Tamandua tetradactyla: one gene and its partner. The protein of the gene in region 1 interacts with the protein of each later gene in a pairwise test. Links are inferred from orthologs where the notes say so. Each region holds a gene or a part of one and is shown on either strand. Other genes may lie near its edges.

What was found.
Region 2: the proteins of RFESD (region 1) and hemoglobin subunit theta-1-like interact in binary tests that used the Homo sapiens proteins (3 or more experiments, as listed by UniProt). The two-hybrid records come from large-scale screens. The link is inferred for Tamandua tetradactyla from reciprocal best matches to the Homo sapiens genes RFESD and HBQ1.

What each region holds. Positions count from the first base shown.
Region 1 is NC_135347.1:35,487,288-35,504,734, forward strand, and holds the start of RFESD (Rieske domain-containing protein), read right to left. Parts: upstream 9,018-17,447; 5' UTR 8,912-9,017; intron 8,892-8,911; exon of another isoform or gene 7,596-8,891; 5' UTR 7,496-7,595; intron 878-7,495; 5' UTR 810-877; intron 270-809; 5' UTR 269-269; coding exon 94-268; intron 1-93.
Region 2 is NC_135349.1:57,157,930-57,173,619, reverse strand, and holds hemoglobin subunit theta-1-like, read left to right. Parts: upstream 1-10,441; 5' UTR 10,442-10,493; coding exon 10,494-10,588; intron 10,589-10,722; coding exon 10,723-10,927; intron 10,928-11,056; coding exon 11,057-11,185; 3' UTR 11,186-11,255; downstream 11,256-15,690. Other genes in the region: hemoglobin subunit alpha-1/2, read left to right, coding at 75-279, 398-526; hemoglobin subunit alpha-1/2, read left to right, coding at 3,902-3,996, 4,074-4,278, 4,397-4,525; hemoglobin subunit alpha-1/2-like, read left to right, coding at 7,900-7,994, 8,072-8,276, 8,395-8,523.

The DNA of each region.
Region 1 (17,447 bases):
TTGAATGTTTCATCTGGTTAGTATGAAATTGATATTTTGATAGTTTCGTAGTTTGTAAATAAGCACAAAGTTTACAAAAGAAAAAAATCTTACGGTAACAGCGAATATCCATAGCATGATATTCTCCTTTGTGATAGAAAATGACCACTTCCCTATCATGCACAACAGCTGTCAATCTTTCACGTTTTTTAATGTCATCTTCTCTGCCAACACAGACAGAAGAATACTCCTTCTTTTCAGGATTTTGTACAGAGTCATTAAGATCCATGCTACACAAAACAAAACAAATAAAAAAAAAAAGAGAAAAACTGCAAGTTGCCTTCATTCATTTGGCTAAAACTTAACTCACAGAGATAATTATATCGATTATTTCTCCAAAATGAGGCATTTTTCTGTAGGTATATAAAATAAAACAATCATAAATACCGGAAGTAGTTAGCCAGAATTTTGAATTAGAGACTTTTAAAGGCTACCAAAATTAGGAATGACTCCCCACTCTGAGCTAGAGTCATAAATTTCAATGCTTAAGACGGAAATTTCAGAATTCTAAAATATAGAGATTAAAGTTTCACTATCCTTTTATTCCCTATCAAATTCAAAGTTTAACAATATCTGGTTATTATCTGCATTGTTTTCAGTCTTCTGCTGAAGATGGGATTCTTGAATAGTCTGACCAGATCTAGGCCCCTTGGCTGAGGTGTTTCCTGTGTTTTTTTGCCTGGAGTCTACAGCCAGCTCTTACAGGCACAACCACATGATTATTCTAGCAGGGTGAGATAGGGATAAAAGGACACTTTTTATTTTCTTACCTTAGAAATTGCTGTTCCAATCATTACTTCCTTCTGCCTTATTCTGGCATTCAGAGAGATGGCTCTGTCTTCAATTAATTTATAGAGGTATATAAGCCAATATTTCTAACAAAAGTTTTAGTAGAGCATTTGTAGGTATTAGATACACTTTTTTTTTCTCAGCACAGATATGTAGCCTGTCTTTTTAAAAGCAACACAGAGACCATCTATATAATTTAAGAACAGAATCATGGTATGTTTATTCCATTTGAGAAGGAAACATCATGATACATCAGTGTTAGGGATCGCAGGCCCCATGCAGAAGGTTTCCCTGAGGGTTTCCCATTTGGGGTGGCATTTAGTTTTTTTTCTATCATAGTTTCTAAATAAAACTATATATATCCTGTTTTGCCAACAACTTTCATATTTGTTCATTATCCACTCCTAGTGTCAACTCTATCCTGTTATTCCTAACCTCTTCCTATTAGAGACAGGAGTTGCCATCCCAACATTCCTGCTTTTCCTCCGTTCCTCTGAAGACAGATTGAGATGCTTTTGGCTGTAATTTTCAAAAAGTTAATACTGTATATACCGCGTATAAATTTATTATCTTAGGATTGAGCTTTCTTCCCAGGCAACAGCATATTTTGAATGTTCGCATGAAAATAAAAATTACAGGACCGAATCAAAGGGTTTTGCTTTTCATTTATTACCAATAATTACACTATTGGATATCCCTATAGGGTTTCTTCTCTCTTTTGGAGAGTGGATATCTTCAAGCATCTAGACAATGTCCATTCCACCAATAATATAAGAGAAGCTCACTCCACAATGAGGGTGAACAGGAGAGGGGTTGCCTGTTTCATTCAAGTGAGATTCCTGTCTGCACCTAGAACATTATCTTGAAGCCGAGCTACTTCAGCCCCTTTACTGTTCGACAGAATTAAAAAGTTTAAGACAGATGACAGAAATCAAAGGGACATAGTAACATCTAATCACAACCTACTTTGGGACACTGATGGACAAGTTTCTCTAGAGTCTATTTAAGGAGACATAATTTTTTTAAAAAAATAAGCAGGCAAAACTATCAAGGACTGGCTATTGATAATAACCTTTAGCACAGAAGAATTATAAAATAAAAAGAAAACTTTCAACAATAGCTCTTCGGATTCTCCAGCAAAGTTCTACTTACTTATTATTGATGATCATTCATTTGAAATTTTTTTCTGAGCATCCACTATGTAACTGGCATTTCAGGAAGTGAGACAGACAAGGTCTCTGCCCTTCCAGAGATTATATTATAGTTGGTGAGACAGATAATAAGTAAATACATAAACAAGATAATTACACACTATGATAAGAGCCATAAAGGGAATAAACTGGGTAACATGAGAGAGAGTAAGAGGGAGGTGATTTCACAAAGTGGTTATGAAGCTGAGATCACAGGTGAATTGAAATCTGAACAATGCAAATGAACTAGATATGATAAGAGCTGAGGAAGAGAATTCCATGCTGACAGAGCAGCACATACAAAAGCGGGTAGGAAAGAAAAGGCTTGGCTAGCCTGAGGAACATATGGGAGACTGAAGCATAATGAATATGGAGAGTGGCAGGAGACTAGGTTGGCGCTGTAGGCAGGAGCCAAGCTGTGCAGTGTTGTGTGTGGATTTTATTTTAAGAGCAATGGGAAGCCACTGAAAGATGTTAAGCATGGAAGTGTGACATGACTGTTTTAAAAGATCATCCTGGCTGCGTGGCAAATGGATTATAGCGAAATGAGAGGGGAAGGACACACAGATATCAGAAAATTATGGCAAAGGTTGATGGGAAGGATAATGGTAGGTGACAGTGCAAAGACGAAAAAAAAAGTAACAATAATAGAGTAGCTACAATTATATTGTGATTACTATGTGCCAGGCAATGTTTTAAGACTTTACACCTATTTCTCCCAACATAATACTATAAAGAAGATACTATTACCTTAATTTCACAGTGAGGAAACTGAGGCAAAGATAGATTGGGCTGGTGGCCTAGAGTGAAGGAACTGCATAAAAAGAAATAAGGATGACTCCCAGGTTTTACGTATGTGCAACAGGCAGACTGTAGTGCCAGTGACTGTGATGGGAAAGACTAAGAAAAGAATGGTATTTCTTCAAGGCTGGACAATCAAGAGCTAACTATATTTTGCATACATTGACTTTGAAGTGCCTAACAGCTATCCAAGTGGAGATACCAAGTCACAGTCAGATATATGAAATCGGAATTGAGTCACCAGAGACATAAACTCGGGAGTTTTCAAGTTAGGTAATTCAGTGAAATCACCTGGAAAATGTGTGCAGATAGAGAAGATGGTTCAGGACAATTCCTGAAACACTTCAACATTTAGCTGTGAAGTAGAAGACAGACCTGCAAGAGGCTGAAGAGAGGCAAGGTCAGAGGTGTCCAACCTATCGATAAATGGAATCCATTCACTGCTCTCTACTTTATCCCGTATTCTCCAGAAATGCAAAATAGGCAGGCACTGAGGCAACATCCACTACAATAATGGCCATCTCTGTGCATTAAACTATGAATGATATCTGAATAAAACTTGGGTTTTCTAGGAAACTGTAGTTATCCCTAAACTTTGATTTTTCCGTACAGAACTGGGTCTACTCTGTATGCTTCTCTCCTAGTAATTTCACTTATTCCCTATACTTTCAGCCTCCTAGAAGTCAAATACCAGCTAGCATCCAAACAAGGGCCTACATCTATAACATAACCATTCCTACTTGCTTCTTCTCGTATTTCTAAAGTTTGTCTCCTATTGCATTCCTTAATATCTTTTTGGCCAAATATAGATATTAAAAAGTGGGAAAAGTCAAGACTACGAGAAATCTGTCAATATTGTTCATAGGGACAGGCTAAAGGGTAAATTCTACCCTTTATGAGTCTGACTCAGTCCTAAAATCAAAATAATGATTACTATATACCACCATACAATACTTGATAAGCATTCTTCAGAATTTCAAGAACACACAATCTGCCCTAAAAATGGCATATGTGATGATAAATGCACAGCTAAATGATGGTATTGTGAACCAATGATTGTACACTTGGATGATTACATGGTATGTGAATATATAATATATATCAATAAAAATAATTAAGAAAAAGGCATGTGTCTGTATTTTCAACCCAAAATAAGTATTCAGTCATCTTACAAAGCCTCGATAGATGTTTACACTGGACACAAGTCTCCCAAAATAAAATGTGACAACAATTCTTCTAAAGATTATGGCAAAGGTTAGGTTTTCTCAACATTTTCATTTTTCAGTTCCATTTTTATGGGATTTCATCATTTTATGGATTTCTTTCATCATGGTTAGAACTTACAGAAAGCTCCAACAATTTGAAAGGCATCCAACTCAGGCTTATGCAAGATAAGTAATTACATATGGAAAAGGAAAGGAAGTGAATCAAAATGATGGCCCATGTTAGTTGTAGAGACCCAACTTCTATTAAAACATTAGGAAGTTCAACATGGAATGCTCATGATACTAAGTTCACATATATTTATATGCAATTTAAAGTACTTAAGAAAATTATAAATCAAATGTCAACTTCGGATTTCGAATTTTAGGAGGCTGAACTTTCATAATCTATATCCTCTTTAAATAGAGTAATAGTGTCATATTTCATAGGAATTTATACAGGATGACAATGTATCTTCCTTGATCAACAGGAACCTGCCATTGTAATTTCACTCAAGTCTCAAGTTAACATTTTAAATACAAACACACACACACCCAAACTATTTAACAGAGGCACTTGGATCTTGGTATACCTAGCTTAAAATGGTTGTAATCTATGAACACAATCCCCTCCCATCAAGGAGGAAAGCCTTTTATATGGCAGTGTCAAGAGGCCTTTTGCAGAGAATTTTCCTGATGACTTCTCTAAATATTTACTGAATCTTGTATGACTGTCTAAGTTCAGAGAAAAAGAGCATTGGCTCATCTAAAAAATAAGTTCATAAAACAGACTATTATTCACAAATAGAACCTCTATGTGTACGCATTAGGAACATTTGGACAGAAGGAATTTATAAGCCACATTTTAATCTACCATATGGGTAGATTAGACCCATATACAAGACAGATATCAATAGATATCATGTACAAATGTGGACTCCAAAACTGAGTTAGAGTAGTGTGTGTGTGTGTGTGTGTGTGTGTGTGTGTGTGATGACAGGGAGAGGCAGGATCTCTGAATTCAATGAATAAAGAAAGCATCACACAAATCAAGCTTAGTAAGTGTAGGGATGTCAATTTTTTTTTAAATTTCCAATTATAAAACTTGAAAAAAAAACTTCGTCATAACATATAACAGCATTTTCCATTTTAACCACTTTCAATTATACAATTCAGTGGTATTAATTACATTCCCAATATTGTGTTACCATCACTAAAATCCATTATCCCAATTTTTCACCACATCAAACAGAAACTCTGCATTCTTTAAGCAATAAAATCCCTTTTCTCTTCCCTCACCCATTGTAATCTACCTGTCTCTATGAATTCGCACATTCTAGGTATTTCATCTAAGTGAGATCACTTAATGTCTATCTTTCTGTGTCTGGCTTATTTCACTCAAACATAAGGGATGTTAACTTTGTACTCTGAAGTTTGCTTGCTAATCTATGTACTAACTAACTTACTTACAATAGGATGGGAAAATACTACATATGCTTTTTATAAAATTATTTCATAAAAAACAAGTGTGTGTGTGTATTAAAAAGAAAAGACAAAGAGGAATCATGACCATGCTTTTCTGGGTTAGCCATGGCTGAAAGAAGGCTGACACACTGCTTTTCTAAACAGTCATCAGCTTTTACTTGATTCTGGCAGCTACCCAAAGTAGAACAGACAGAGGAGCAATAATAATAAAAAATGGGAATTGAAAGAGAGAGAAACAGGCTGAAAGAAAAGAAAGGGAAGAAATGTAGAATTTGCAACACATACAACCAACAAAGTATATATTCATAATACACGAACAACATTTTAAGATAACTAAGGAAATGCCAAATAACTATGGAAAATGGGCAAAAGACATGAACGAATATTTATTTCACAGGTGAGAAATCTGAATGGCCAACAATCATATGTAAAGTGTAATCTCATTAGTAGGGAAAAGCAAAGTAAATGCAAAGCAAAGCCACAAATGGGATACCATTTTCTACCCAATAGATTGGCAAAAATTTATACCAACTATTGGTGAGGATATGGAGCAACTTCTAGTGAGGATATAAATAAGTGCTACCACAGTTTGGCATCACTTAATAAAGCTGAATGTCTTCATGACTCAACAATCCCACTTTAGGTATATTCCATAGAGAAACATGCATAGGTACATCAGAAGACATGCACAAAAATAGTTATAACTATAAAAGACTGGAAATAACTCAAAAATTCATGAGCAGTAGACGGGATAAACTGGATTAATTTTTAAAATGTAACCAAAAATAATTCAGTATGCTTCCATTTTTACCAAGTGCAAAAACAGGCAAAACTAAACAATGTATTATTCATGAATACTATATATATATATATGGTAAATCTATAGAAAAAAGCAAGGGGGATAATAAACATGGCTCCAGAAATTACCTTTAATTTTTATTTTACTCTTTTCTATGTTTAAATTGTATCCTACTTTATATTTATGTAGCGAATGACCTAAATCCCAAGAAAAACAGGATAATGTCACTTTATATCCTCAGAGAATGTGCCTGTGCATAGATCACGATTGAACTGCTTGAGACTTTTGTACAACTCATTTCAAAACTTGGTACTAGAGGAAGAAGTAAGGGACTAGCCCCCCCCCCCCCTTTTTTTTTCTAGGCAAAGCCTACAAATACTAGGATCTAGGGAGGTAACAAAATACATGAGATGCGGACTAATATTAAAAATTAATTATGTTCTTCCCTGTCTCTGAAAGAATGAGATTCAAAGACAGTTCTCCTTTAAATTTCAGGCTCTTCAACCATACAGTCAATACCTCTAACCAAGAAAAACGGTAGTGAACTTTGTGAGGGCTGATAAGAAATGGGCAGAGAAGGCTGGGACTAAATGATAAAGGTTTCAGAGAACTATGATTATGTTACAGCCTTGCATTTTGAAAGAATTATTTCATCCTTCAAATAACTGTTTCCATTGTGTATCATAAAAGGCACTATTTATTCAGGATATCTGGTGACCATTTATATTTAACATTCATATTACTCTTTATCAAATATTGTGATTATCATGGTCTATTTGGACAACAGTAATGGAGTCCATGGTACTGTTACTATTCATATACTCCCACACATTTCCTCTACTTTGAGTCTACTCTGAATTAGCAGAATCTTAGCTGAACAAAAGGAAATAAAAAGTTAAATGACTCATCTAGTTTGGGGGCTTGATGAAGAAAGCTTCCTGCTGAAAAATTTAGCCATTTTGTTCCATAATTCATAAATTTCTTTGTCCGGCGCCTAAACTTGGGTTTTTATAGGCACTTACTTCATAAAAAATAACAAATTAGCTAAATGGGTTCTTAGTCTCTATTAGATGTCTTTGGTCATAGGGAATACATTAAAGGTAGATTTAAAAAAAAAAAATTAAAGTTACATTCCACCTGACACTAAAGACAAGAGACATGGTCAAAGTGGGAGAAATAAAGGTACTTACTTGTTACTTCTCTTGAGTACTTAAGTAGTTTCTCACCTCTGAGGACTTGGTCTGCACATTATCAGAATACATAGTTCCAGGGTGACACCCTTGCTTTTAGCTTCACGGAAGAAAAAGAAATGTCTTTGCTCGTAGTTTTGTATCTTGTTTTATGACAGAACAATAATAGATAAAAGTAGCTTTCTGCTTGGACACTTCGCATGTATTATTAGCTCATTAATCCTCAAAAAAAATGATAAGGAGTAGGTACTATCCCTATTTTCCAGATAAGGTTAAAAAGTTTAGCAAAACTCACAAAGCAGCAGACTCAGAATTTAAATGCAGTTCCTATGAGTCTAAAGTAGGTGACGACTGATACATAAACCCCAACATTTCATCTAGGGAGCCTGCAAGGAACGTATCCTGAAAGGACTAAAACTTTTTAGCAAAGCAATGGTATATGCAAATTACACCAAAAAGGATGGTCGTTATTCGTGTTTCGTCTTTGATTTTAATCTGGGAATGCCAACGCGTCAACAGATGTTTAAAGTGGAATACTCCTCTAAGTAATTCCCTACTAACTTTAACACAGTCATACCGCCGCGCTGAAATTCTCCATGGTCACCTAGTGACATCAGAGATCCGGTTCAGGCGGGCTGGGCGCGGGGTCGAGTCCCGGCTGAGCACGTCGCTAGCAGCGTGCTTCGGACCATGTTGCCTACTCCCTGCGTGCGGCGGTTTCCTGGTTTGCAAAAAACCCGCAGGACTAGCACCTGCCACGGAGGTGTGGTGAAAGACAAACGGCTTTAATACACAATTATCTGGAGCTGGGTCTGACGGTGGAAAACGCACAAAGAATGTTAACCGTCATCTCTAAGGTCCTTCCAGCTCCGAGCGTTTTTCCGTCCAGGCTGTATTTAACCTTTTAGGAAAAAAGACGGTCTGCGGTTCTCGGGCCGAGCGGTGCTCACAGGTCCAGGGACCACCACGAGAGCCTAAGGATGGCTCTTCAGTGCTGGGGATTCTCCCGCCTGCAGACTTGAGAAGACGAATATCTAAGGAGGAAGGGACTGCAGAAATTCTGGAACGGGGTTTATATTTTATGGTGCAGAAATGCCAGGAAAGCTTGTTAAAAACGTCCCACCTGCCTCTCTGAGGCGACAGATGCGGGGCGAAGACCAGATTCTAGTTCAAAGTGAACAAGCTTGTTGGGCCAAGCTGGGGCGCGCGGAACCCTCCCCTGCGGCGTTAACCATTAACCAACGCCGAACCGAGGCCTGGGTGGAGGGTGGGGGAAGTGCTCGGAGGCGCCGGGAGCAAAGGCCACACAGCACCGCCTCCTCCAGGTGCCACGGGTCGCCACCGGAAGCCCGAGCCCGGGCCTCGTGTCCTGGCAGGAAGCAGCGGCCCAGCTCCGCGCGGAAGAACAAAACTTACTGCGCTCCAGTGCCTTGCCCCGCCTCCACCGTCCCGGCCAGCGGTGAGCAGCGCCTGTTGCGACTGCGCACGCTTAAGCACCGGGCCAAGGAGCGGTGCCTCCGCGGGGCGGGGCGAAGCCAACCACGTGACCCGAGCGCTCCCGCCCCCCCTCCGAACCCCTCCTCGGTTTTGTCCGCTGGTGACCCCACCTGTCAGTGACCCCTGGCCATCCACGCTCTGTCAGCACCTCGGAACTGGCAGGTTTAATCGTATGCTTGACAGACTTGGGCGGCATCAGTTTATTTTTAAAATGTTTGTTGATCACACCACATTTTCCAAATATTAACTGTACTCAGCGATTTCACTTTTGGAACTTTGCCCTATAAAAATATTTGCAAATGTTCGTCAGGATGCATGTTACCTATGTATCCGGATGTTTGTTGCAATGCAGGGATGAGAATAATCAAAGAGGTTTTCAACGGGGGAATGATTGAAATACAATGTAGACGTGAATTAACTTTGTAGCCGTGGAACCAAAGGACAAATTCCATAATGTAATGAATGTGAAAAGGTACGTATGTATAATATGCTCTCTTTAGTGTAAATAAAAATTACTTCTAGAGATAAAAATATGCACGGATATACATAAACTTTTTAAAGGAAATAACAAATAACAGCGGTCGCTCTCGCGGGAAGGAGGGCTTTCAGGTTCTCACTTTTATTTTTTGAACCATGCAGTATTTTCTTTTTTAGTAAGATGCATACTGCGACTATATAATCAAATAATGAACAATTTTTTGCTCTCTTTTTATACTTATTTGAATTAAAAAGAAAATTTCATAGTTGTGTGCAAAGCAGGAAACTAGATGAACGTACTAGATTTTTCAAAGTGTCCTTGACTCTTTATTATCTAGCGCAGTGGTTAGTAAACTGGAGAGTTTAAAAAAATCTTGGTGCCCGGTCTACATCACAGACCAATGAAAGAAAACACTTTGTAGATGGGGACCAGGGACCAGTGTTTTGAAGACATTTCCCAACTGATTCCAGAGTGAAGCCAAGGTTAAGCACCATGGCCACAAAGTAATTTACATGTCTGTTTCCCAAGAGAATCGGGGTCTCATCTGGACCTGCTGTCTCAGGACGGCGGGGTTAACAAGCTTTGGTGGCCGTTCCTTCATCCTACAGTACAAAAACTGCTCCAGGGTTCCTACAGCAGTTAGTGTGCCACACCTGGCTTACAATGGGCCTCAGGCAGTTGAAGCTAAAGAGCCTCGTCCATTTATCCCAGTGTGTCATACAAGTGACACTTTTTTTCTATGAGCCTCAACATATAATGGTTGAGGAACCCCAATTTTGGATTTGCTCCCAATACTAGTTTCTCCTGATACTATTTAGTTCAGAATAGTTTGAGGGCGATTGGTAATATTTGAGGGGATAATTTCCTTTCTGACTCTTTGTTTCACTAAGCCAAAAACAAATGAACCATCTAGTTTGGTGTATCAAATTATTTAATGAATAATCAGATATAATTTGATTTGTAACCATCCCGGCTTGTGTTACTGAAGGACTAAATAAGGTTTACCATTTCTAATGAAAAGCCCTTCTCTGTTGCTTTGATATATCTGAGCATTCAGGTATACAGAATAGACACATCTTAGTTACATCCATCTTAAATCTAATTTTGGATAAACTGAAAGCCTCAGCAGATATGTACACATATCTACCCAAGAAGAATGCAAGAGAGAAGTGAAAGCTTTCTTTCATCTCCATCTAATGTATTAATGTGGTTACAGTCATGTGATATATTATGAAAAGCTGTAGGAGGGGGCAGAAAAAAATGCATTTCTTCATTTCCCCCAACACCCACCCACACACACACAAACACCTTTGGTAACAGCAGGAACCCTTAAAGTCTGTTTGAAATTCATTACAGTTCAGGAGAAAATTTATGACTTCTGCTGTTACTTTACTATATTTTAAATTGCAATAAAGCAGGTCTAGCTAGCTGTGGGCACTGCTTGACAAACTTCTAACTGAGACCATTTGGAGACACTTTCTAAGTCTTCTCTCCTTGGAATCAAATTGCATCTTTGTTCGTTCTTCATTTATTCCTTCAACTTCTTTGCCCTGTGCTTCTAACTTTGTCCTACTACTGACACCTAGTGGTACCTCTGGCATGAGTTTTGTTAACAAACACCTCAGCTTTCCCTGGGCGACCTTGACTCTCAATTATGCTCATGTGTAAAAAGTCTCAAATGTCCTTTTCACCTTTGCAAGCCGAGCTCCACACCCCAAACTCTAAGCAGCACCACGCTGTTTCTAGACAGGGTTTTCCAGACCAAGCTCTTCCTCTCAGAGAGATGCAAAAATTGCCTTCTATCCTAAGCCAGAGTCTATCTTGTGAAACCAGCGAAAGCATCCGTTGTGCTGCTAGTCTCACTACAGGAAGTTTTAAAGGATACCAGCAAAGCTGGGTTCTCTCCTCCTTTAAACTGGAAAAGGATGACATGATCGCCTTTGCAGGCTCTTGGGACTCAGATCATGAGAAGTTCAGGGTGGCGTATGGCTTTGAACCCCACCTGCTTATGGCTCTAAATTAATGTCTCCACATCAGTTGGGCTGCCTGTTGGCATTTGCACATGGATATTGTGCGAGAACCAATGGTGTTCACCAAACATCCCAACTGCTACCCCACATTTCCTAGCCCCTCTTACGGCTGGTGGAGGGCATATGAATAGTTCGTATTGCCAATGGGCAGTGGGTGAAGTGAAGTGTGCCACTCCTAGACTGGTGCAAAGAAGAGCTGATATGAGAACTCTTCTTTTCAGATCAGAACAATGAGCAACATTCTAGATTGTGGAGCCTCCCACCAGCCTGGGCCCTTAAGGGACTATGTGGAACAGAATCCGCCCCAGTTTCCACCAAGCTGTGAAAGTAATGTAACTTCAATAGGAAATAAACTTCCGTTGTGCTAAGTCACTGGGATTTTAAGGCTGTTTATTATTGTACATTGTTTAGTTTACCCTATCTCATAGCTATGTCCAATTTCCTGTGTTCAAAATGTAATTATTAATTTTCTCGCATAAACCTGCATTTCCTTTGTTCTCTCCATCTCCCTGAGTGTCCGCGCTGCCCGCCTGCGTGCTTGCGGTGGCAACCTGCCGGTCCCCTTTCCTCACTCGCCCTGTGCAGAAAAGACTTACCCCAGGAAGCCGGAGTCCGTTACCATTAGAATGGTCTGCGTAGGCGTAGCCTTGGCTGATGACTGAGAAGTGGGCTGGGAAGCAGTCCCCACACTGATATAACAGTTTACCTAAATAATCGGGGTGCCCTACGCTGCCCAAACCGTTTGTACATGCCAGCAGCATGGTGAGCATCAGGGCTGTAAAAGTACGGGATGTGTGCTGTGGTGTCTGGCACAGGAAGGCATGTGGGTCCTAGAGGAGGGACAAGATTTTAAGTGGGTAGAGCCAGAAACTAGTCAATGGAAAATTCTGTCAATCATCAGACTTTTGGTAAAATTGTGAGCACAAGATTCTGTTCTTGTCGACAGCACACGTGGACTATACTGAATAATAATACAGCATGTAAAACTGTAAAGCCACCATTTATCTTTTTTTGAAGGAAAATACATGAAATAGAATTTATCAGAATTCTTCTGTCTGAAGGACACAAACCTGTACCATAAACAGTGACTTTGTTTTATGCATCCTAATTTTAAGAAAAGATTAACTGTGTTATAGGAAAGATTGAATTGTCTTTCTATCTTCTTTATATAAAATATTATCGTGGGGGGATGCAAGGGTGGTTCAGTGATAGAATTCTCGCCTTCCAGGCAGGAGACCCGGGTTCATTCCTGGTCCATGCATTTCCCCAAAACAACAAACAAGCAAACAAGGAAAAAAAAAAAAAAGAATTCAACAAATGCTGCTGTAATCACGGGATACTCACATGGGAGAAGAATGAAATGTGACCCCTGCCATGCAGCATAGTATATATATATATATATATATATAAAATCGTAAAATTGTTATCATGTTCTATCAATTAAAAAGAGGATGACTCATGCTATAGGAAAGACTGAATTACTTATTTTCTTTATATAAAATATTATCATAAAATTGTTATCCTGTGAAGAGAGGATTAAAGAGCACATAGACAGAAATGTAGGCAAGAAGTATTATAGGAGTGTGTCTGGCAATTAATAAATATGTTTGCTATTATGTCAGTTTTCACATTTGTATTTTTTGTAGTTATTTGTCCATTCTATTCAAAAGATTTGCTTTCATGCCTTATTTCCATTCATCATTTTGTATTCTTTTTTTTTCGAGTAGACAGACCCTCTCCACACTGTATAGACTTCAGGCCCCTGAACCTGGATCCACCCACAGTTGACACTGCAAGTTTCATGAGTTTCCAACGTCAAATTGTCTGTGACAGGCCTGGGTGCGCAGCGCTGCCCAGGCTGTTCCAAATTCCATTCTGCATTGTGCACCGGGGCCCCCAGGGAGTGGGACTGGAAAAGGACTGACCTTGGATTCATGTAGCATGTCCACATGCTCAAAGGCCCTCTATGCCATCAGGCGGTGTCAAGGTGGCTCTGGAGTAAACTTTAACTAGAGGTCAGTTGCTTAGCCAGACCTGGCAACAACAGCCACTGAAGCAAAGGCCTGAAAAGACATGCCCCCAGGAAAGACCCTATGGCACAGGACACAGAAAATATGCTGAATTAATTCCAGGGCTCAGAGTAGAAATGTCAATCAAAGATCTTTTAATATACAAGAAAAGTAAGATACCCGGAGATTGAGGCTGCAACATTTGTAAATTCCTAAACTTGCTAGAAGGCAGGAATGAGTCAATTGGCTCTAAGATAAATGCATACATGAATCTTTCTCACCAGATTTGGTAAGCATGGTGTCAAAATTAACCAAATTATGGGACTATATCTCCCAACTGAGTTTACCCTCACAGGTTGTAGATACGAACTACTTGCATTGACCAATGGACAAACAGCAAGGGGAAGCTAAAACAAGATTCTCTCCATAGTTTTTCCTCACACCCTAAGTGTCTACTAGATACTTTAGCAACATGAAATACTGGTTCTGGAAATTAAACTTTGCTTGACTAACTGCTCTAGGGACAGGGAGTGTTTAGGTAGGTGAGGGGCTAACACTGCAATTGTGTTTTGGGTGCCCTTATCACTTTTCATTCTTTTAAAAAAAAAAAAAGGTAAGGCTCGTCAGAAAATGGCCACTGAACAAAACCAACCTCAGAGGTCCTAATGGAATGACATATTCCAGGGTGAGACGGGCCAGGCTCAGCTGCTGAAGGACCCATAGCTCCACACAGCCTTCAGGAACCTTTCCAGAGAGTCTGCAGAATCTGAAATTGGGGAGGGCTTTAACTTTTTCACACAACAAAGACAGGAAAATTTGATTTTTGAACTTTAGATTTTAATTTCTTTGAACTTTTCTTGTAAGAGAATTTAATCTCTGAACCTCAGCTTCCCCCTAGACATTGTTTCAAAACTCAGACATTGTAAAGGAGTTTTTTGTTGTTGTTGATGGTGGTGGTAGTTTGTTTTGTTTTTAATTGGACATTGCTAACCCTAGATGGGAGAGAGTCCAGTAGTGTAAGTCGAACTAAAATCCTTCCCCATGAAAACCAAGGGGCAAGTAATATGTGTTCTCATATGACACTCTGCTGAACTATGTGTTTCTGGCACAAATGTAAGGCTTTGAGGGAGGGCTCTATCTAGTGCCCAAAGTCTCCACATCTGTTGTAGCAGGCATTACCAGTCTTTAACATACTGGCTGATTACACCCTTTTTTGTTGCAGAATTGCTTAAGTTCATGCCACTTGTTTCCTAAGGATAATTTCCCAGAATTTCTCATGTTTGTTCCATCTTGGGTATCACCTGTGACCTATTGACTCTGATATTGATGTTTCTGCATTTGGTGTCCTCAGGTATTAGGCAGGATCTGCCACCTGATCTTTGAGACAGTGCCTTTCCTCAGCCATGAATATTCCAAGCTTTGTATAATGGGATCTGACTTCGGAGTTTCAGTCTCTTTGCTGTACCTCTGTTTCCTTTAGGAAGGCTCAACAGAGTTTTTAACAGTTGAACCTGCTTTTTAAATTGATCTCTTTCCTTCTTTGACGCATGCATTCTTTGCCAAAACTGAGTTCCTTTCTTTCTTCCTTCCTTTGTTTTCTCCTCGCTTTCTAGCCCAGACGTGAAAAGCATGCAACGTTTAAACAAATTTTCCTTTAGTTGTATGGTCCCAACAGGAGACAATCTTCCATCGGATCAATGTCTAAGCCAGATCTGTACTTGTTTTACCAAAGTTCAATCTGGTTCCATGTGCACACTGGGGTACATGTATGCCTATGTCAATCTGTTGGGTAGAAGTCCAATGGAACTGAATCGAGAATTTAAAAGTCAACCCTCGTATTTTTGGCCAATTGATTTTTTACAAGGGTGCCAAGTTCATTCAACTGGGAAAGAACAGTCTCTTCGATAAATGGTGCTGGGAAAACTGATGTCCTTAGGCAAAAGAATGAAGGTGGACCCAAACATCACACTACATACAAAATTTGATTGTTGAATTCAAAAATCAACTCAAAATGGATCATAGACCTAAATATGAGAACTAAAGCTATAAAACTCCTAGAAGAAAATGTAGGGAAACATCTTCAGGAGCTTTGTCTTAAGCACTGGTTTGTTAGATTTTATACCCAAAGCATGAGTAACAAAAGAAAAATAGATAAATTGGACCTCATGAAAATTAAAAACTTTTGTGCATCAAAGGACTTTATTATGAGAGCAAAAAAGATAACCTACAGAATAGGAGAAAATATTTGGAAGCCATATATATAATAAGGGTTTAATATCCTGAATCTATAGAACTCCTACAACTCAACCACAAAGGAACAATCCAATTTAAAAAATGGGCAAAAGACTTGAATAGACATTCCTCCAAAGAAGCTTTAAAAACGACCAATAACAAATGAAAAGATGCTCAGCATCGTTAGCCATTAGGGAAATGTAAATCAAACAGTTTGGGGGTTCATCAAAAAGGTAAGTATAGAATTAGCATATGACTGGCAATCCACTTACAGTTATATACCCAAAAGAATTGAAAGCAGGGACTTGAACAGATATTTGCATATCAGTGCTTAAAGCAGCATTATTATTCACAATTGCCAAAAGATGGAAACAACCTAAGTGTGCATCATCTGATGAATGAACAAACAAAATGAAGTATATACATACTATGGAATATTATTCAGCTGTAAAAAAGAATGACGTTCAGATACATATAACAGCATGGGTGAATCTTGAAGACATCACGTTGGGTGAAATAAGCCAGATACGAAAGCACAAATATTGTATGTGGTATGAAAAAATTAGAATAAGTAAATTTTATAGAGTTAGAGACTAAAACATGGGTCACTAGGGTCTGGGTTTGGGGGGAAAAAGGGGAGATAATACTTCAATTGTTCAGAGTTTCTGTTTGGCATAATGGAAATGTTTTGATAATGGATGATGATGATGGAAGCACAACATTGGGAACATAATTAACAGTCCTGAAATGTGTATTTGAATGTGGTTAAAAGGGAGATTTTGGAATGTATATATGTTACTAGAAAAACAACAACAGCATAGTATGGTAGAAGACAAACAATGAAACTAATGTAAACCACGGACTACAGTTAATAATGTAATAATGGTCTGTCATCAATTGTAACAAATGTGCCAAATTAATGCATAGTGTTACTAATAAGGGATGTATGGAACTCTTCATTTTGCATGATTTTCTGTAAACCTACAACTTCTCCAATTAAAAAATGATCATAAAAAAAAGACACTAAAGAGACAATCAAATACAGTGTGTCAACTGTGATGGGTTTTGATTCAAAGGAAAAATAACTATACAAATTATATTAAGGACAAAAATGAAAACTTGAATAGGGACTGAGTGTTAGATGATATTAGAATATTACTGTTAATTTTCTTATGTGATAATGCTTTGGGGGTTATACAAGAATGTCTTAAGAGTTACATGCTCAAGTATTTGGAGGTGAGATGTAATGATATTATATGGCTTCAAATAATTTTTAAGTTATTCAGAAAAAAGAATGTATTTATATAAATGCAAATATGGTAAAATGTTAATAAATGTTGAATCTCAGTTGTGGGTATGAGGGTGTTTTCATATTATTCTTTCAATTTTTAGTTTTTATACTAACAATTGAAAAAGAGAGAAGCCCATTTAACCCAGTGTTCCAAATATATTTGACTATACAACTCTTTTCTTCCCTTAAACATATTAATATCAAAGCATCTGCTGCTTCACAAAGCACACATAGGAATACACTGGCCCAGGGCAGGCTCTTAGTGGCTTCTTTTAAAAATATACCATTATGATAAATGCTCAATGAAGAATAAAAAATCTTTTCAAAAAATTTCAAAATGCTCTTTAAAAAAATGCATCCAGTTAGCTGATAAAATGTTTGCTCCATCACTTAAAGAGTTCTAAGCTCTTAACAC
Region 2 (15,690 bases), on another chromosome or scaffold:
AGCAGCCCCGGCCTCGCTCTGCCCCCCGCCCCCGCCGGGCGCCCGCCCCGCCGCTCACCCGTTCCCTCCCGCAGGCTCTTCCTCGCCTTCCCCACCACCAAGACCTACTTCCCGCACTTCGACCTGAGCCATGGCTCCGCCCAGGTCAAGGCCCACGGCAAGAAGGTGGCTGATGCCCTGACCCTCGCCGCCGGCCACCTGGACGACCTGCCCGGCGCGCTGTCTGCCCTGAGCGACCTGCACGCGCACAAGCTGCGGGTGGACCCGATCAACTTCAAGGTGAGGCTGCGGGCGCCGGGAGGGAGCCGGGCACGGAGCGCGCGGCGACCTTCCCCGGGGCGCGGGGTTCCTGGGGCCCCGGCCGCCCTGCTGCCCCTCACACCGCCTCTCTCCGCAGCTCCTGGGTCACTGCCTGATGGTCACCCTGGCCAACCACCTCCCGAACGACTTCACCCCTGCCGTCCACGCCTCCCTGGACAAGTTCGTCACCAACGTGGGCACCGTGCTGACCTCCAAATACCGCTAAGCCGGAGTGTCTGCGCCCCCCCCCGCCCGCCCACCTGAGCCTCCCGGTCTTTGAATAAAGTCTGCGTGGGCGGCAGCCTGCTTTGACCTGGCTCTGTGTCCATGTCTGCCGAGGCGCCAGGGGCGGGCGGCGGGTGTGGTGCCGGGACCACGGGCCCCCTGCAGAGGGGAAGGGGAGGGGAGAAGGGGGGAGGGCATGGTGAAGGGACGGGATCGGATCGCACTGCCAGAACGCGCCGAGGTCCCAAGGCAGAAGTGGGAGCTCCAGGGTGGCTGCGCTCCTCTGCGATCTCCCTGAGCGAGCAACAGTTACACACGCAGATGAGATCAAAGCAGGCTGCTCTCGGTGCACACGCAGGCACAGGACAATTTCCCCAAGGTCCTCCTCCTTCCACCAGTGGAAGGCGCACCGAAGCCCCGCGGGCCCCACGTGCTCTGGGCGGGGGCCGAGCTGGTCGGCCCTGTGTCGGGTCCCTACTCGCTGAGAGCGCAGCCTACATTCTCTGGCCCCCAGGCTGAGTTCTCCCACTGCCCTGCCGTGAGCACACATCTCCTTCGGGAGGGCTCCTGTCCGAGGTGCTGAAACTGCGGACACCCTGCCCCAAACTCGCAGAGGGGCGTGCACCCAGACGCGCGCACAGGCCAGGGCCACGCCTGCCCCCGGGCCCCGGCCCCAGCCCCAGCCCCAGTCCGGGCCCCGAGGCCGCCTGCAACCGGGCCCTGGATAGAAATTTGAGAAGGGTGGTGAGGTGCTCCCCTTTCTTTCTCTTGATCTTGGCCTGGACTTGAGCCACTCTGAACTGCTGGGGAGTTTCCTTCCCTCTTCAACACTGCCTCTGCCCTGAAGTCGACCCACTTTTATTTAAACATAGAAAAACGTTTTAATTTTAAAATTTTAGTTACTCAAAATGTGTCAATATTGGTTCTTCAGGTGAAACAAGTGGGCCACACTAATGCAAGCTGTCACCAAGGGGGGAGAACCCTGGGTGTGCGTCAGGAGAGCAGATGAGAACTGAGTTTTCTGTACAATGTTTATGTAAACCTAAAACTGCTTTTCTTTCTTTCCTTTTTTTTTTTTAAAAAAAACAGCTTATAATTTCAAAAACACGCTAGAATCCACCCACGCTTTCACGGCTCTCACTTTCTTGCATTATTCAAAATAAGGGCAGGGACTCACCTGCCCGTGCAGCACACACTTGGGCACACTCCTCCCTGGCACGGGAGAGGGGCCCAGGCGAGCTGGGCACTCAGCCCTCCACCCCACCCTACGCTGAGCAGCCTGCAGTCCCACCACTGCGAACTGCACCTTGTGCAGTTAATGCTGATACAAAATATAACCGTAAGGCAGACTTGGTCTGCAACCTGTCTCCATCCCCCATTCCTCCAGGCCAGTTCGTTCGGATCAGTCTCCTCCCAGTGTCGTGGGTCATTTCTACATTTCTGTTAAGTTCCTGTTAGTATCCTTTGTCCATTTTTCTTTTCCTTATTTTACATGGATGCTCTTCCCATATGGTGTTGCTTCCCCAAGTCTTTCCGGGAAAGAGTTCAGGTGTGTGTGGGGGGCGGGTTGAGGCAGGAAGGAGGGAGGTGCTTGGTCCTGCCCCGTGCTGCCTAAGGTCCCAGCCTCTGACCCCTGGGCTCTTTGGAGCCAGGACTGCGGCTGGAGCTGTGGACAGGATCAGGATAGGTGGGAAAAGGGTAGAGGGTAGGGAGAAGAAGTCGGATTAGTTGGGGGGTCCTGTTGGTGTGAGATGCTAAGAGCCTAGCACTGGGTGGGAGGCAGAGCAGAGGGTAGTGTGGCTTGGAGCTGCTTCCTTCTCTGCACAAGTTAGCCCAGTCCTGCCTTCCTCCTCAACTCCTGGGAGTTGTGAGTGAGGGTCCTGGAGGAGCAGGGATTTCCCCAAAGCAAGGCCTTCCTGCAGGCACCAGGAAGGGAATGAGCCGTGATGTCTCCCTGGATCCATTCCTGAGGGCCCCCCAACCCCCGCAGCTAGCAGCCTCCCTCTTCACCAGCAAGGCGACTGCCCCAGCTCACTCCCATCCCTTCTTGCTGCTTCACTGGCAGCTAGAAGGAGCCCCTCCATGTGGTCCCTACAGCCTTATCACTCTGTCTCCCCACCTCCCTTCTGTCCTGCCATGGGGGCCTCGCCCTCTGGCCACCTCCACACAAGCCAAGCCTCCAGCCTGACTGCATTTAATGTTTACTCATCCTTCGCTCTCACCTCCTAGGGAAGCCTATCCCGACCCTCAGACTAAACAGCCACCTGCCACTCTCCCGCACCCACTTCACGCTCCCTCTGGGTGGCTCACAAGGGGCAACTGCATGTTCACCTGGTGGGCATCTCAGTAGCCTCCTTCGGCCCTTTTTTTACGCACCCACTCAGCAGCTGGATGGGTCAGGTCCAAAGTGGCACATGGGGGGAAACTGAGTCTCATCCACTCAGCGTCTGGAGAGCCTGTCCCCTTCCCTTCACATGGGGTGAGATGGAGAGACCCTGCCACTGCCAAGTTGGCCTGAGCCAGGCTGGGAGATCCAGCCCCACCCTGCCAGTTCTGTGTCTCATATTTGCCCCTCCCAGTGCTTGGTGGCACTCGGCGACTGTGGAAAGACAGGGGATGGGAGAACTAAGGCTGCAGGAGACAGGAGGGTGCCCGGAGGCTCCTGATGTGCAGAACCCCTTCTGCCCCAGCGAGCGGAGCGTGCCTTGCTTCCCTGCTGACTCTCACACCTGTTCACTGATTCCTATCACCTTAAAAGACCAGTGTGGGGCGGGCCGCGGTGGCTCAGCGGGCAAAGTGCTTGCCTGCTATGCCGGAGGACCTCGGTTCGATTCCCGACCCCAGCCCATGTAACAAAAACGGAGAAACAGAATACAATAAAACAAGAAAATGTTTAAAAATGTTTCCCTTTCTTCCTTCCTTCCTTCCTTCTATCCTTCCTTCCTTCTCTCTGTCTTTCCTTTAAAAAAAAAAAAAAAAAAAAAAAAAAGACCAGTGTGTGCTAACTCTAGGTCCAGGGTGGGGCCACCAACCCTCCTTCCAGCTTCTGGCTCCTAGGAGGGTGCAACCTGGGCCAAGAAACGCTCAGAAATGGTGCAAGAGCTGGCACAGCCCTGGCCCAAGGCGGGTCTCTAGCAGCCGGGAAGGGCAGGCGAGGGGCCAGGTGGCCCCAGGGGGAAGGGCCGCGCTCAGCAGCCCTGCAGGACACCTGGCCTGACTCGGGTGGGACGCACCCCGCCGGCCAGCGCCCCACCCCTTTGCTCTCCGCCCCCGGAACCGCCCACCCGGGCGTGGCCCCGCACTCCGCGCATAAAGGCGCCCAGCGCCCCGGGCCCCGCACGCTCCGTGTCCACGCGGAACCCCGAGAGAACTAGCCATGGTGCTGTCGCCCGCCGACAAGACCAACATCAAGACCGCCTGGGACAAGATTGGCTCCCATGCAGGCGAATACGGCGCCGAGGCCCTGGAGAGGTGAGCAGCCCCGGCCTCGCTCTGCCCCCCGCCCCCGCCGGGCGCCCGCCCCGCCGCTCACCCGCTCCCTCCCTCAGGCTCTTCCTCGCCTTCCCCACCACCAAGACCTACTTCCCGCACTTCGACCTGAGCCATGGCTCCGCCCAGGTCAAGGCCCACGGCAAGAAGGTGGCTGATGCCCTGACCCTCGCCGCCGGCCACCTGGACGACCTGCCCGGCGCGCTGTCTGCCCTGAGCGACCTGCACGCGCACAAGCTGCGGGTGGACCCGATCAACTTCAAGGTGAGGCTGCGGGCGCCGGGAGGGAGCCGGGCACGGAGCGCGCGGCGACCTTCCCCGGGGCGCGGGGTTCCTGGGGCCCCGGCCGCCCTGCCGCCCCTCACACCGCCTCTCTCCGCAGCTCCTGGGTCACTGCCTGATGGTCACCCTGGCCAACCACCTCCCGAACGACTTCACCCCTGCCGTCCACGCCTCCCTGGACAAGTTCGTCACCAACGTGGGCACCGTGCTGACCTCCAAATACCGCTAAGCCGGAGTGTCTGCGCCCCCCCCGCCCGCCCACCTGAGCCTCCCGGTCTTTGAATAAAGTCTGCGTGGGCGGCAGCCTGCTTTGACCTGGCTCTGTGTCCATGTCTGCCGAGGCGCCAGGGGCGGGCGGCGGGTGTGGTGCCGGGACCACGGGCCCCCTGCAGAGGGGAAGGGGAGGGGAGAAGGGGGGAGGGCATGGTGAAGGGACGGGATCGGATCGCACTGCCAGAACGCGCCGAGGTCCCAAGGCAGAAGTGGGAGCTCCAGGGTGGCTGCGCTCCTCTGCGATCTCCCTGAGCGAGCAACAGTTACACACGCAGATGAGATCAAAGCAGGCTGCTCTCGGTGCACACGCAGGCACAGGACAATTTCCCCAAGGTCCTCCTCCTTCCACCAGTGGAAGGCGCACCGAAGCCCCGCGGGCCCCACGTGCTCTGGGCGGGGGCCGAGCTGGTCGGCCCTGTGTCGGGTCCCTACTCGCTGAGAGCGCAGCCTACATTCTCTGGCCCCCAGGCTGAGTTCTCCCACTGCCCTGCCGTGAGCACACATCTCCTTCGGGAGGGCTCCTGTCCGAGGTGCTGAAACTGCGGACACCCTGCCCCAAACTCGCAGAGGGGCGTGCACCCAGACGCGCGCACAGGCCAGGGCCACGCCTGCCCCCGGGCCCCGGCCCCAGCCCCAGCCCCAGTCCGGGCCCCGAGGCCGCCTGCAACCGGGCCCTGGATAGAAATTTGAGAAGGGTGGTGAGGTGCTCCCCTTTCTTTCTCTTGATCTTGGCCTGGACTTGAGCCACTCTGAACTGCTGGGGAGTTTCCTTCCCTCTTCAACACTGCCTCTGCCCTGAAGTCGACCCACTTTTATTTAAACATAGAAAAACGTTTTAATTTTAAAATTTTAGTTACTCAAAATGTGTCAATATTGGTTCTTCAGGTGAAACAAGTGGGCCACACTAATGCAAGCTGTCACCAAGGGGGGAGAACCCTGGGTGTGCGTCAGGAGAGCAGATGAGAACTGAGTTTTCTGTACAATGTTTATGTAAACCTAAAACTGCTTTTCTTTCTTTCCTTTTTTTTTTTTTAAAAAAACAGCTTATAATTTCAAAAACACGCTAGAATCCACCCACGCTTTCACGGCTCTCACTTTCTTGCATTATTCAAAATAAGGGCAGGGACTCACCTGCCCGTGCAGCACACACTTGGGCACACTCCTCCCTGGCACGGGAGAGGGGCCCAGGCGAGCTGGGCACTCAGCCCTCCACCCCACCCTACGCTGAGCAGCCTGCAGTCCCACCACTGCGAACTGCACCTTGTGCAGTTAATGCTGATACAAAATATAACCGTAAGGCAGACTTGGTCTGCAACCTGTCTCCATCCCCCATTCCTCCAGGCCAGTTCGTTCGGATCAGTCTCCTCCCAGTGTCGTGGGTCATTTCTACATTTCTGTTAAGTTCCTGTTAGTATCCTTTGTCCATTTTTCTTTTCCTTATTTTACATGGATGCTCTTCCCATATGGTGTTGCTTCCCCAAGTCTTTCCGGGAAAGAGTTCAGGTGTGTGTGGGGGGCGGGTTGAGGCAGGAAGGAGGGAGGTGCTTGGTCCTGCCCCGTGCTGCCTAAGGTCCCAGCCTCTGACCCCTGGGCTCTTTGGAGCCAGGACTGCGGCTGGAGCTGTGGACAGGATCAGGATAGGTGGGAAAAGGGTAGAGGGTAGGGAGAAGAAGTCGGATTAGTTGGGGGGTCCTGTTGGTGTGAGATGCTAAGAGCCTAGCACTGGGTGGGAGGCAGAGCAGAGGGTAGTGTGGCTTGGAGCTGCTTCCTTCTCTGCACAAGTTAGCCCAGTCCTGCCTTCCTCCTCAACTCCTGGGAGTTGTGAGTGAGGGTCCTGGAGGAGCAGGGATTTCCCCAAAGCAAGGCCTTCCTGCAGGCACCAGGAAGGGAATGAGCCGTGATGTCTCCCTGGATCCATTCCTGAGGGCCCCCCAACCCCCGCAGCTAGCAGCCTCCCTCTTCACCAGCAAGGCGACTGCCCCAGCTCACTCCCATCCCTTCTTGCTGCTTCACTGGCAGCTAGAAGGAGCCCCTCCATGTGGTCCCTACAGCCTTATCACTCTGTCTCCCCACCTCCCTTCTGTCCTGCCATGGGGGCCTCGCCCTCTGGCCACCTCCACACAAGCCAAGCCTCCAGCCTGACTGCATTTAATGTTTACTCATCCTTCGCTCTCACCTCCTAGGGAAGCCTATCCCGACCCTCAGACTAAACAGCCACCTGCCACTCTCCCGCACCCACTTCACGCTCCCTCTGGGTGGCTCACAAGGGGCAACTGCATGTTCACCTGGTGGGCATCTCAGTAGCCTCCTTCGGCCCTTTTTTTACGCACCCACTCAGCAGCTGGATGGGTCAGGTCCAAAGTGGCACATGGGGGGAAACTGAGTCTCATCCACTCAGCGTCTGGAGAGCCTGTCCCCTTCCCTTCACATGGGGTGAGATGGAGAGACCCTGCCACTGCCAAGTTGGCCTGAGCCAGGCTGGGAGATCCAGCCCCACCCTGCCAGTTCTGTGTCTCATATTTGCCCCTACCAGTGCTTGGTGGCACTCGGCGACTGTGGAAAGACAGGGGATGGGAGAACTAAGGCTGCAGGAGACAGGAGGGTGCCCGCAGGCTCCTGATGTGCAGAACCCCTTCTGCCCCAGCGAGCGGAGCGTGCCTTGCTTCCCTGCTGACTCTCACACCTGTTCACTGATTCCTATCACCTTAAAAGACCAGTGTGGGGCGGGCCGCGGTGGCTCAGCGGGCAAAGTGCTTGCCTGCTATGCCGGAGGACCTCGGTTCGATTCCCGACCCCAGCCCATGTAACAAAAACGGAGAAACAGAATACAATAAAACAAGAAAATGTTTAAAAATGTTTCCCTTTCTTCCTTCCTTCCTTCCTTCTATCCTTCCTTCCTTCTCTCTGTCTTTCCTTTAAAAAAAAAAAAAAAAAAAAAAAAAAGACCAGTGTGTGCTAACTCTAGGTCCAGGGTGGGGCCACCAACCCTCCTTCCAGCTTCTGGCTCCTAGGAGGGTGCAACCTGGGCCAAGAAACGCTCAGAAATGGTGCAAGAGCTGGCACAGCCCTGGCCCAAGGCGGGTCTCTAGCAGCCGGGAAGGGCAGGCGAGGGGCCAGGTGGCCCCAGGGGGAAGGGCCGCGCTCAGCAGCCCTGCAGGACACCTGGCCTGACTCGGGTGGGACGCACCCCGCCGGCCAGCGCCCCACCCCTTTGCTCTCCGCCCCCGGAACCGCCCACCCGGGCGTGGCCCCGCACTCCGCGCATAAAGGCGCCCAGCGCCCCGGGCCCCGCACGCTCCGTGTCCACGCGGAACCCCGAGAGAACTAGCCATGGTGCTGTCGCCCGCCGACAAGACCAACATCAAGACCGCCTGGGACAAGATTGGCTCCCATGCAGGCGAATACGGCGCCGAGGCCCTGGAGAGGTGAGCAGCCCCGGCCTCGCTCTGCCCCCCGCCCCCGCCGGGCGCCCGCCCCGCCGCTCACCCGCTCCCTCCCTCAGGCTCTTCCTCGCCTTCCCCACCACCAAGACCTACTTCCCGCACTTCGACCTGAGCCATGGCTCCGCCCAGGTCAAGGCCCACGGCAAGAAGGTGGCTGATGCCCTGACCCTCGCCGCCGGCCACCTGGACGACCTGCCCGGCGCGCTGTCTGCCCTGAGCGACCTGCACGCGCACAAGCTGCGGGTGGACCCGATCAACTTCAGGGTGAGGCTGCGGGCGCCGGGAGGGAGCCGGGCACGGAGCGCGCGGCGACCTTCCCCGGGGCGCGGGGCTCCTGGGGCCCCGGCCGCCCTGCCGCCCCTCACACCGCCTCTCTCCGCAGCTCCTGGGTCAGTGCCTGATGGTCACCCTGGCCAACCACCTCCCGAACGACTTCACCCCTGCCGTCCACGCCTCCCTGGACAAGTTCATCACCTACGTGGCCACCGTGCTGACCTCCAAATACCGCTAAGCCGGAGTGTCTGCGCCCCGGGCCCCCCCCGCCCACCTGAGCCTCCCGGTCTTTGAATAAAATCTGCGTGGGCGGCAGCCTGCTTTGACCTGGCTCTGTGTCCATGTCTGCCGAGGCGCCAGGGGCGGGCGGCGGGTGTGGTGCCGGGGACCACGGGCCCCCTGCAGAGGGGAAGGGGAGGGGAGAAGGGGGGAGGGCAGCTCAGGGCCGGTTTGACTGGGGGAATGTGCTGACCTCCTGCATGGGCTGCTTTGCCCATACATTCCCCCTTTTCTGCATTTTGTTCCCAGACCTGGCATGAGTTTGTTGAAGTGATATATTCATTTTCCATCCTGACACCTCTTTGTCAGCCTTGACCGAGTGGGCAGGCTTCACAGCCCTTGGAGCCCTGCTGAGTGCCACTCTCTCCCGGTCTCCTCAAAGCCTCCCAAACACACAGTCGCTGCTGCCCTGATCAGGGCAGGTGCAGAAATTGCAAAGCAATTCCCTGGAGCGGCCCTTCCACTGAGCCCTTCCAGGACCCTCCTTCTGACACCGACACCTGGCACCTCCATCCTTGGTGTCACCCTGGGAAAGAGCCACAGGGCCAGGGACACCCTTTCCTGCAGAAAGCCCTGGCATGTGGGGCATCCAAGGGTAACTTTCAGGTGCCAAGCCCAGCAGGCAACAGAGAAGGACCCCTGCCCACCCTCTGACAGTGGGAAACACCCTTTCTTCCCTGGGCTCAGGAGTTGATCTTAGCTGCAACGACAGGCCCCGTCCTCAGTTTGTGGTTTGCCACATCGAATTCAGAACTCTCAGAAAAAGTAGTATTACCTTATTATTAGGGAAAAAGGTTGGGTTAGGGCCTCATGAAAGGAGGAAACTACTCAAATGTCCATCATAGATGAGTGTAAAACAGCGTGGTCTATCCACCTACCCAGAGGAATATTATTCAGTCATAGAAAGGAATTTGTGATTGACAGGACAGTATAAACTTTGAAAACACGCTCAGTGAAATAGGCTAGACACAAAGGACAAATGTGTGAATCTGCGTGTGTGAAATGTCCAGAGAAGACAAACCCATAGAGAAGCCAGTCAGTGGGTGCCAGAGCCTGGGATGGGGTGTGGGGGTGTCAGGGTGTGTGTGGGGGGGGTGACTGCTAATGGGCACAGGGTTCTTTTGGGGTGATGAGAATGTTCAGGAACTAGATAAATATGAAGGTGCAAAACATGTACTAAATGACACTGAATCATACACTTAAAAATGGTAGATTTTATGTTGTGTGAATTCTATCACAATTAAAAATACATATAGGGTGGTGTTTAAAGCCAAGTGAGCGCTACATAAATGTAAGCTATTATTACTGTGGTATACCATAGGCGCTCAATAAGCGTTCATTGCTCTGAAATGAATATGACCTACGGGCCTGGCACCTGATATTTCCTATCCGTTTAATTCTCACAAGAACCCTGTGAAGAAAAAACCTTTATCCCCGATTTCCTCTATAAAATAAATGAGAAAATACTCAGGAGGCAGAACAAATGGAGGCTCAACGCCAAAAACCGCACTAAAAGGCTGTGCCATTTCAACAGTAGTAATGCATCTGCAGCGCCGTTTTCGTTTTCGGTAGACAAGCACCCTAACAGTGTGCCTCCGGGTCCAGGCCAACTCGCGCGGCCGTGCCCCCTGCAGGCTTCGGGGACCCGGGAGGGCACACCCTGCGCGGGCGGCGGGAAGGGGGCGCGGGGCGTGGGGAGCAGGGCGTGGGGAGCAGGGCGCGGGGTCCAGTGGGGCGCGGGGTGCGGGGAGCAGGGCGCGGGGGTCAGCGGCGGACAGGGAGCGCGGGGCGCAGGGGGGGGCAGCAGGGCGCGCGGACCCAGGCGCAGGGAGGAGGCAGCGGCGGGCAGGGAGCGCGGGACGCGGGGAGCAGGGCGCGGGGGGTGGCAGCGGGGCGCGCGGGCGCAGGCGCAACTGACTCGGGGCCATCATGGCGATGTCCGCGACGGATAAGGGTGCAGTGCGTGCGCTGTGGAGGAAGCTGGGCAGCAATGTCGACGTCTACGCCACCGAGGCCCTAGAGAGGTGGGGACAGGCAGGTCCGGGACCTCTCGGCTCGGCTGCTGCGCGAGCGACCTGCGCTCGGGGAGCGTCTGGCCGTGGGAGCCGGCTCTGCTCCTGCCCACCTCCGGTCTTGCCTCACCCACTCCCTCCCACAGGCTCTTCGTCTCCTTCCCCACCACCAAGACCTACTTCCCGCACTTAGACCTGAGCCCCAGCTCCGCCCAGGTCAAGGCCCAGGGCAAGAAGGTGGCTGATGCCCTGACCCTCGCCGCCGACCACCTGGACGACCTTCCCGGCGCGCTGTCCGCCCTGAGTGATCTGCACGCGCACAAGTTGCGGGTGGACCCGATCAACTTCAAGGTGAGGCCGCGGGCGCCGGGCACGGAAGAACCCGGAGAGGGCGTCGGGGAGCGCTGGGAGGGTTAGGGAGGCTGCGGGCGGGGATCCAGGCAGTGTCGGCCGAGTGCAGCGCGACCCTGACCCCCGCAGCTCCTGAACCACTGTCTGCTTGTGACTTTCGCCCGGCACTACCCCGGCGACTTCAGCCCCGCCCTGCACGGTTCGCTGGACAAGTTTCTGAGCCACGTGACGTCGGCGCTGGCCTCCAAATGCCGCTGAAATGGGGTGCGGGATCCCAGCCGCCCCCCGCCGCGAGGTCCTAGTGTTTGAGTAAAGTCCTGGCGCGTGACCGCGTGTGCGCGTGCTCTCTGGAGGGAGGTCGGGGTCGGGGAGAAGCCTGAGCTGCACCCCCAACTACCGATCCGGGCGCCGGTTGGGGCAGGTGACCCCCAAGCCCCAAACGCCCTCTCGGGAAGTCACGCACGGGACAGGGTACCGGCGGGGGAGGGGGGCGCAGCCAGCAGAAAACGAGCGAACCCTGCCGGCAGGGGGCTTACACAGCATGCTGGCCAGGTCCCGGGGACTCTGGGTGCCCCGGAGGATTGGGGTCACAGCTCCTCGGGCGGCTGCACTGCGGACCTCGCCAGGGGCAGCAAACAAAGCCAGGCTGGGTGAGGGTAGCCAGTGCACAACCCACGTGCACTGCCCTGCCGTCTCCCTCGAGGGAGGCCAGAGCTACTTTTTTGAAATTTCCTTCTTGCTTGCCGTATTTGTCCTCATAAAATCAGTTGTGGACAATGCAGAACCTCGAGGGGAAAACCGTCCACTTACCGCACCTTCCAAGCGAGTTCACATCCATTCTCTTCCATTGCCACTTGACACATGGAGAGATGAAGGCTCTGAAAGCTCACAGGAAGCAGAATTCAGAACAGGAGCACAGGTGTGACACTTGCATGCACACCACAATCATGCCGTGAGATACACATGCAGACACACACACACGCAGCGGTAACACTTAAGTGTACAGACTTCCAGATGGATCCTTGTCTGGGCTCATTCAGAGATATTTGGTCTCTCAAATGGCACCCTCAAATGTGACACTGGAGGAAGAGCAGACTGACTGGATTATATCAAGAGGAAAAAGGAAAAACAAACAACTCAATATGGGGAGAAAACAGATCACAAGCTAAGTCAAAAGAAAGGTAATTTCAACCTGTAGCAGAAGTTTTACCTCTACCAGAAAAGACAGAGTTCCAAATCCTTTTTTCCTTCTCTCCAGTTCCCCCTTTTAAGTCAGACAACCCAATAGAGTAATAGACCAAAGGATCAGCAGGCAACTCAGTATACCAGCGGCCAAGAGATACTAGAAAGCGTGCAAACTGAAGCACAGGTTATCAAGATGTCTCTCACAGTGAAGCGTATTAAAAAGGTAACATTTTAACATCCAATGGAAGTGGATTCAGCACAGCTTTCCTGCAGGCAGTTCATTGCACACAGGGGTGACCACGGTGGCCACCCTGGGCAGTCTGGAAGAGGTGGAGCGGGGAGCATCCACCAGGTCCCACGGGAATGATTTCCAGCTCAGTAAGCCCGGGAGAGATGCCACCATCACTTACCATTTCCACACTGATAAGATAGCTATGAGACCCTGAAGAGCAGGGAAGATGATAAAATGAAGTGATGTTGAGCATTCAGTCTTTATTATCTTCGTTTTACCAGGATCCTTTTACCTGTAAATTTGTAGATGTTTTCATAGTGGCTGTGTTTAACAACCAGCTCTCAAACTTCCTGAAAACTTAGCAGCTAGTGTTCTCTAACCCTGTAACTTTTCTTCTGGAAATAATCCCACAGAAAACAGTGGCAGAAACATGAAAATGTACGTGCAGTATGTTCTTTGAAGAAGTTTATTAGAGCAGAGAAGTAAAAAGAAAGTAAGAAAAAAATATTGTGAACCACCACCATGCTCATCAACAGCAGAGCCCAGACAAGCCACGGTCAGCCACTCAGGGGACGTCAAGACAGCCAGCAGGGGTGCGGGGCACTGCCAGGTGTTAACACCGTGGGGCTAGCTGTGGGTGAACGTGTGCAGAGACCCCAAGGGAGGTGAAAAGAACACACACTGGCAGCAGTTACCCTTGGGTGTGGGACTACAGGGGCAGAAGCAAATATTACTTTACAATAGCAAAGAGGTTAAAAAGATTGGACTAAGTGATTTTTCACTTGTGTGTACGTGGTTTTCATTTTTTCAAACATTTTGCAGGATACATTATCCTGAATATCTTTTATAGTTAAAAGTCTACATGCAAACATACAAATAATATCTAATAATAATAATATAATAAGTTCCTTGGGAGATTCTTATGTAAGTGGAATCTCTGGGGCAAATCGCTTGCACATTGTTACAGCTTTTTGATAGTACTGACAAAATTGCTGTTGTCAAGGTCCCATCAGCAGGAGGTGAATGCCCATGCTTCCATCACAGTGCCAATGCTTGGCAAAAACGACCACTCTGTGGTACCTCCAGCTGCTCAAATTACTACTGAAGGCGAGCAGTTTGCTCCATCCCCACCAGGCACCTGCTCTCCTTCCACCAATCACCCACTGGCATCCGCGGGCCATCCCACAGCCAGCCCTGGAGAAGCCATCCTGTATTATAGTTATGACCCATCAGTCCATCTTTTGTGTTGCAATTACTTGCCCATTTTCTTTCTTTTTTCTGGTGGTGGTGGTGGTGGGAGTGGGGGCAGGTAATTCTTTAGCCCAAATACACAGTTCTCTGCCAGTTCCACCTGTTGCTTCTTTTGGACTCTGGGGAGGGAGACCTGGGCCCATCACTGGCTGCAAGGTGCTGCCAGCTCTGGGCCACCATTACCAACCTGGGGAGAGAGGCTACAGTTTTATTTCTGGATAAATAAAGATGCTGGATAAGTTTTTAAAAAACCTTAGAAACATCAAAGAACTAACATGATGATAAGGAATTTCCAGGCCAAAATCCCACTAAAGGTGAGAAATCAGAGTCCCTGAGTCATATGTCAGACTAGTAAACTGGAACATGGGTTTTCCTGGCCTCTCCGGCTTACAGGGTAAAAGGGCAGGCTCAAGGCGGGGCTTCCCCTCAATGCTGCACCTACAAGAAAATCTCCTCCTTCCCTTAAACATGGGCTGGAAACAGAACAGACACCTTGGTACTCAGCAGAAAAGGAAAAATAAATCTCTGATAACTGATGCCATTTGCTTCCCCTGAGGGTTTGCAGCAAGCTCCTGCCACCCGAGTGTCCCTGAACAAACCCTTCAGGCTGGGGATGCGCTGAACACGTGCTCAGACTCAGTCACAGACACTGTCCGAAATCCTCCTCGGATAAGGCCACAGAGGACGGCGGACGGCAGGAGGCAACAACATGGCGCAGCCTCAGACATCCAGGCGCTGGGCACACCAGGCTCAGTTACAACAACCGGGTCACTGTATTTAAAACATTAAAGGTGAGATTTCAAACACCTGCAAGGAGTCTTGAAATACAAAAATGATACAGTGTATGTGAAAAAGAACCTTTAGAAAGAAAAATATAGTCATCAAAATTAAAAATCCAATGGATAGGTCTAAGAGAATTAATGAATTTAAAATAGGTCAGAACAGAAAGAAAAAGGAAAATCCATGGAGTGAACTATCCAGTGTGAGGGCCGGGGACTTGCTGCCAGCCCCAAGGCCTGTCTCATCCTAGTCCAGCCCAGGAAAGACCCTGCCCTTCAGGCAGAAGGAAAAACGACCCTAGGGGAACATCTGATATGCAAGGAGGAATGAGTAAAAATGAAAGAGATAAATATGCATAGATGGAAACAAACACTGGCTGTATATGAAACCACAATGTCTGTGGGGTTAAAAGAGAATCAGAAGGTGACCCCCGGAGTCCAAGCACTCTTTGGTCCTCGTCTGGGAGGCAGACAGAGATTTTCTAGGATTAACTTTAGACGCTGACGATGTTTGTTTCCGATAGCTGCTGTAAGGGGGGTCACCACCACTTTGGTGACTTAAAACAACACAAGTTCATTCTCTTACCAGCATACAGGTGGGAGTTCAAAGGGTGTCTGCACGGCCTAAGGAGAACCTTTTCCTCTTCCAGCTCCAAGCTGGGACTCCTCCACCTTACAGGCTGGTGGCACCTACTCTCACAGGCCACAAGGCTGCCTCCTTCTCGCAGGGACCCTTTTTACTACCTTTAGGGCTGCCCTGTATAGGTCAGGAGAATCTGCCATCTGCAGGTTTATTCAGGGGCCCAAAGTCCCTTTTCCAATATTCACCTTGTATCTAGGGCTGGAACCTGGCTGGACATCTTTGGGGCCATGATTCAGCCTAACACAGTGAGTGCGCATGTTAAAAACTCTAGGACAATGCAGACCAGGAACAGGGCGGACCACTATCCAGTCAGAGAGGGAAAACCAGACTGTTAAAGACTTTCCAAGGCAACTCCACCCCCACCTCCATGAAAGGGCAAAAAATGGAAAGAAAAATAATGGGTCTGATAAATAGCCCAAAATGAGATGCTAACAATAAAACCAAATATAGTATTAACTGCATTGACTACAAATGACTTAACTGCTCCAAAAAAAAAAAAAAAAAAAGGATAAACATCAGACAGACAGACGGACTTCGAAGGGGTAGAAGAAGCCATGAAAAACGCTGCAGGAAAGCAGTCAAGTCAGGGCTGCCCATGGCAAGGGGTTGCTGGCTGTAGGACACAGCTCCGTGCCAGGAACCAGGAGGAAGCCATTTCCGAGGGAAGAGACGT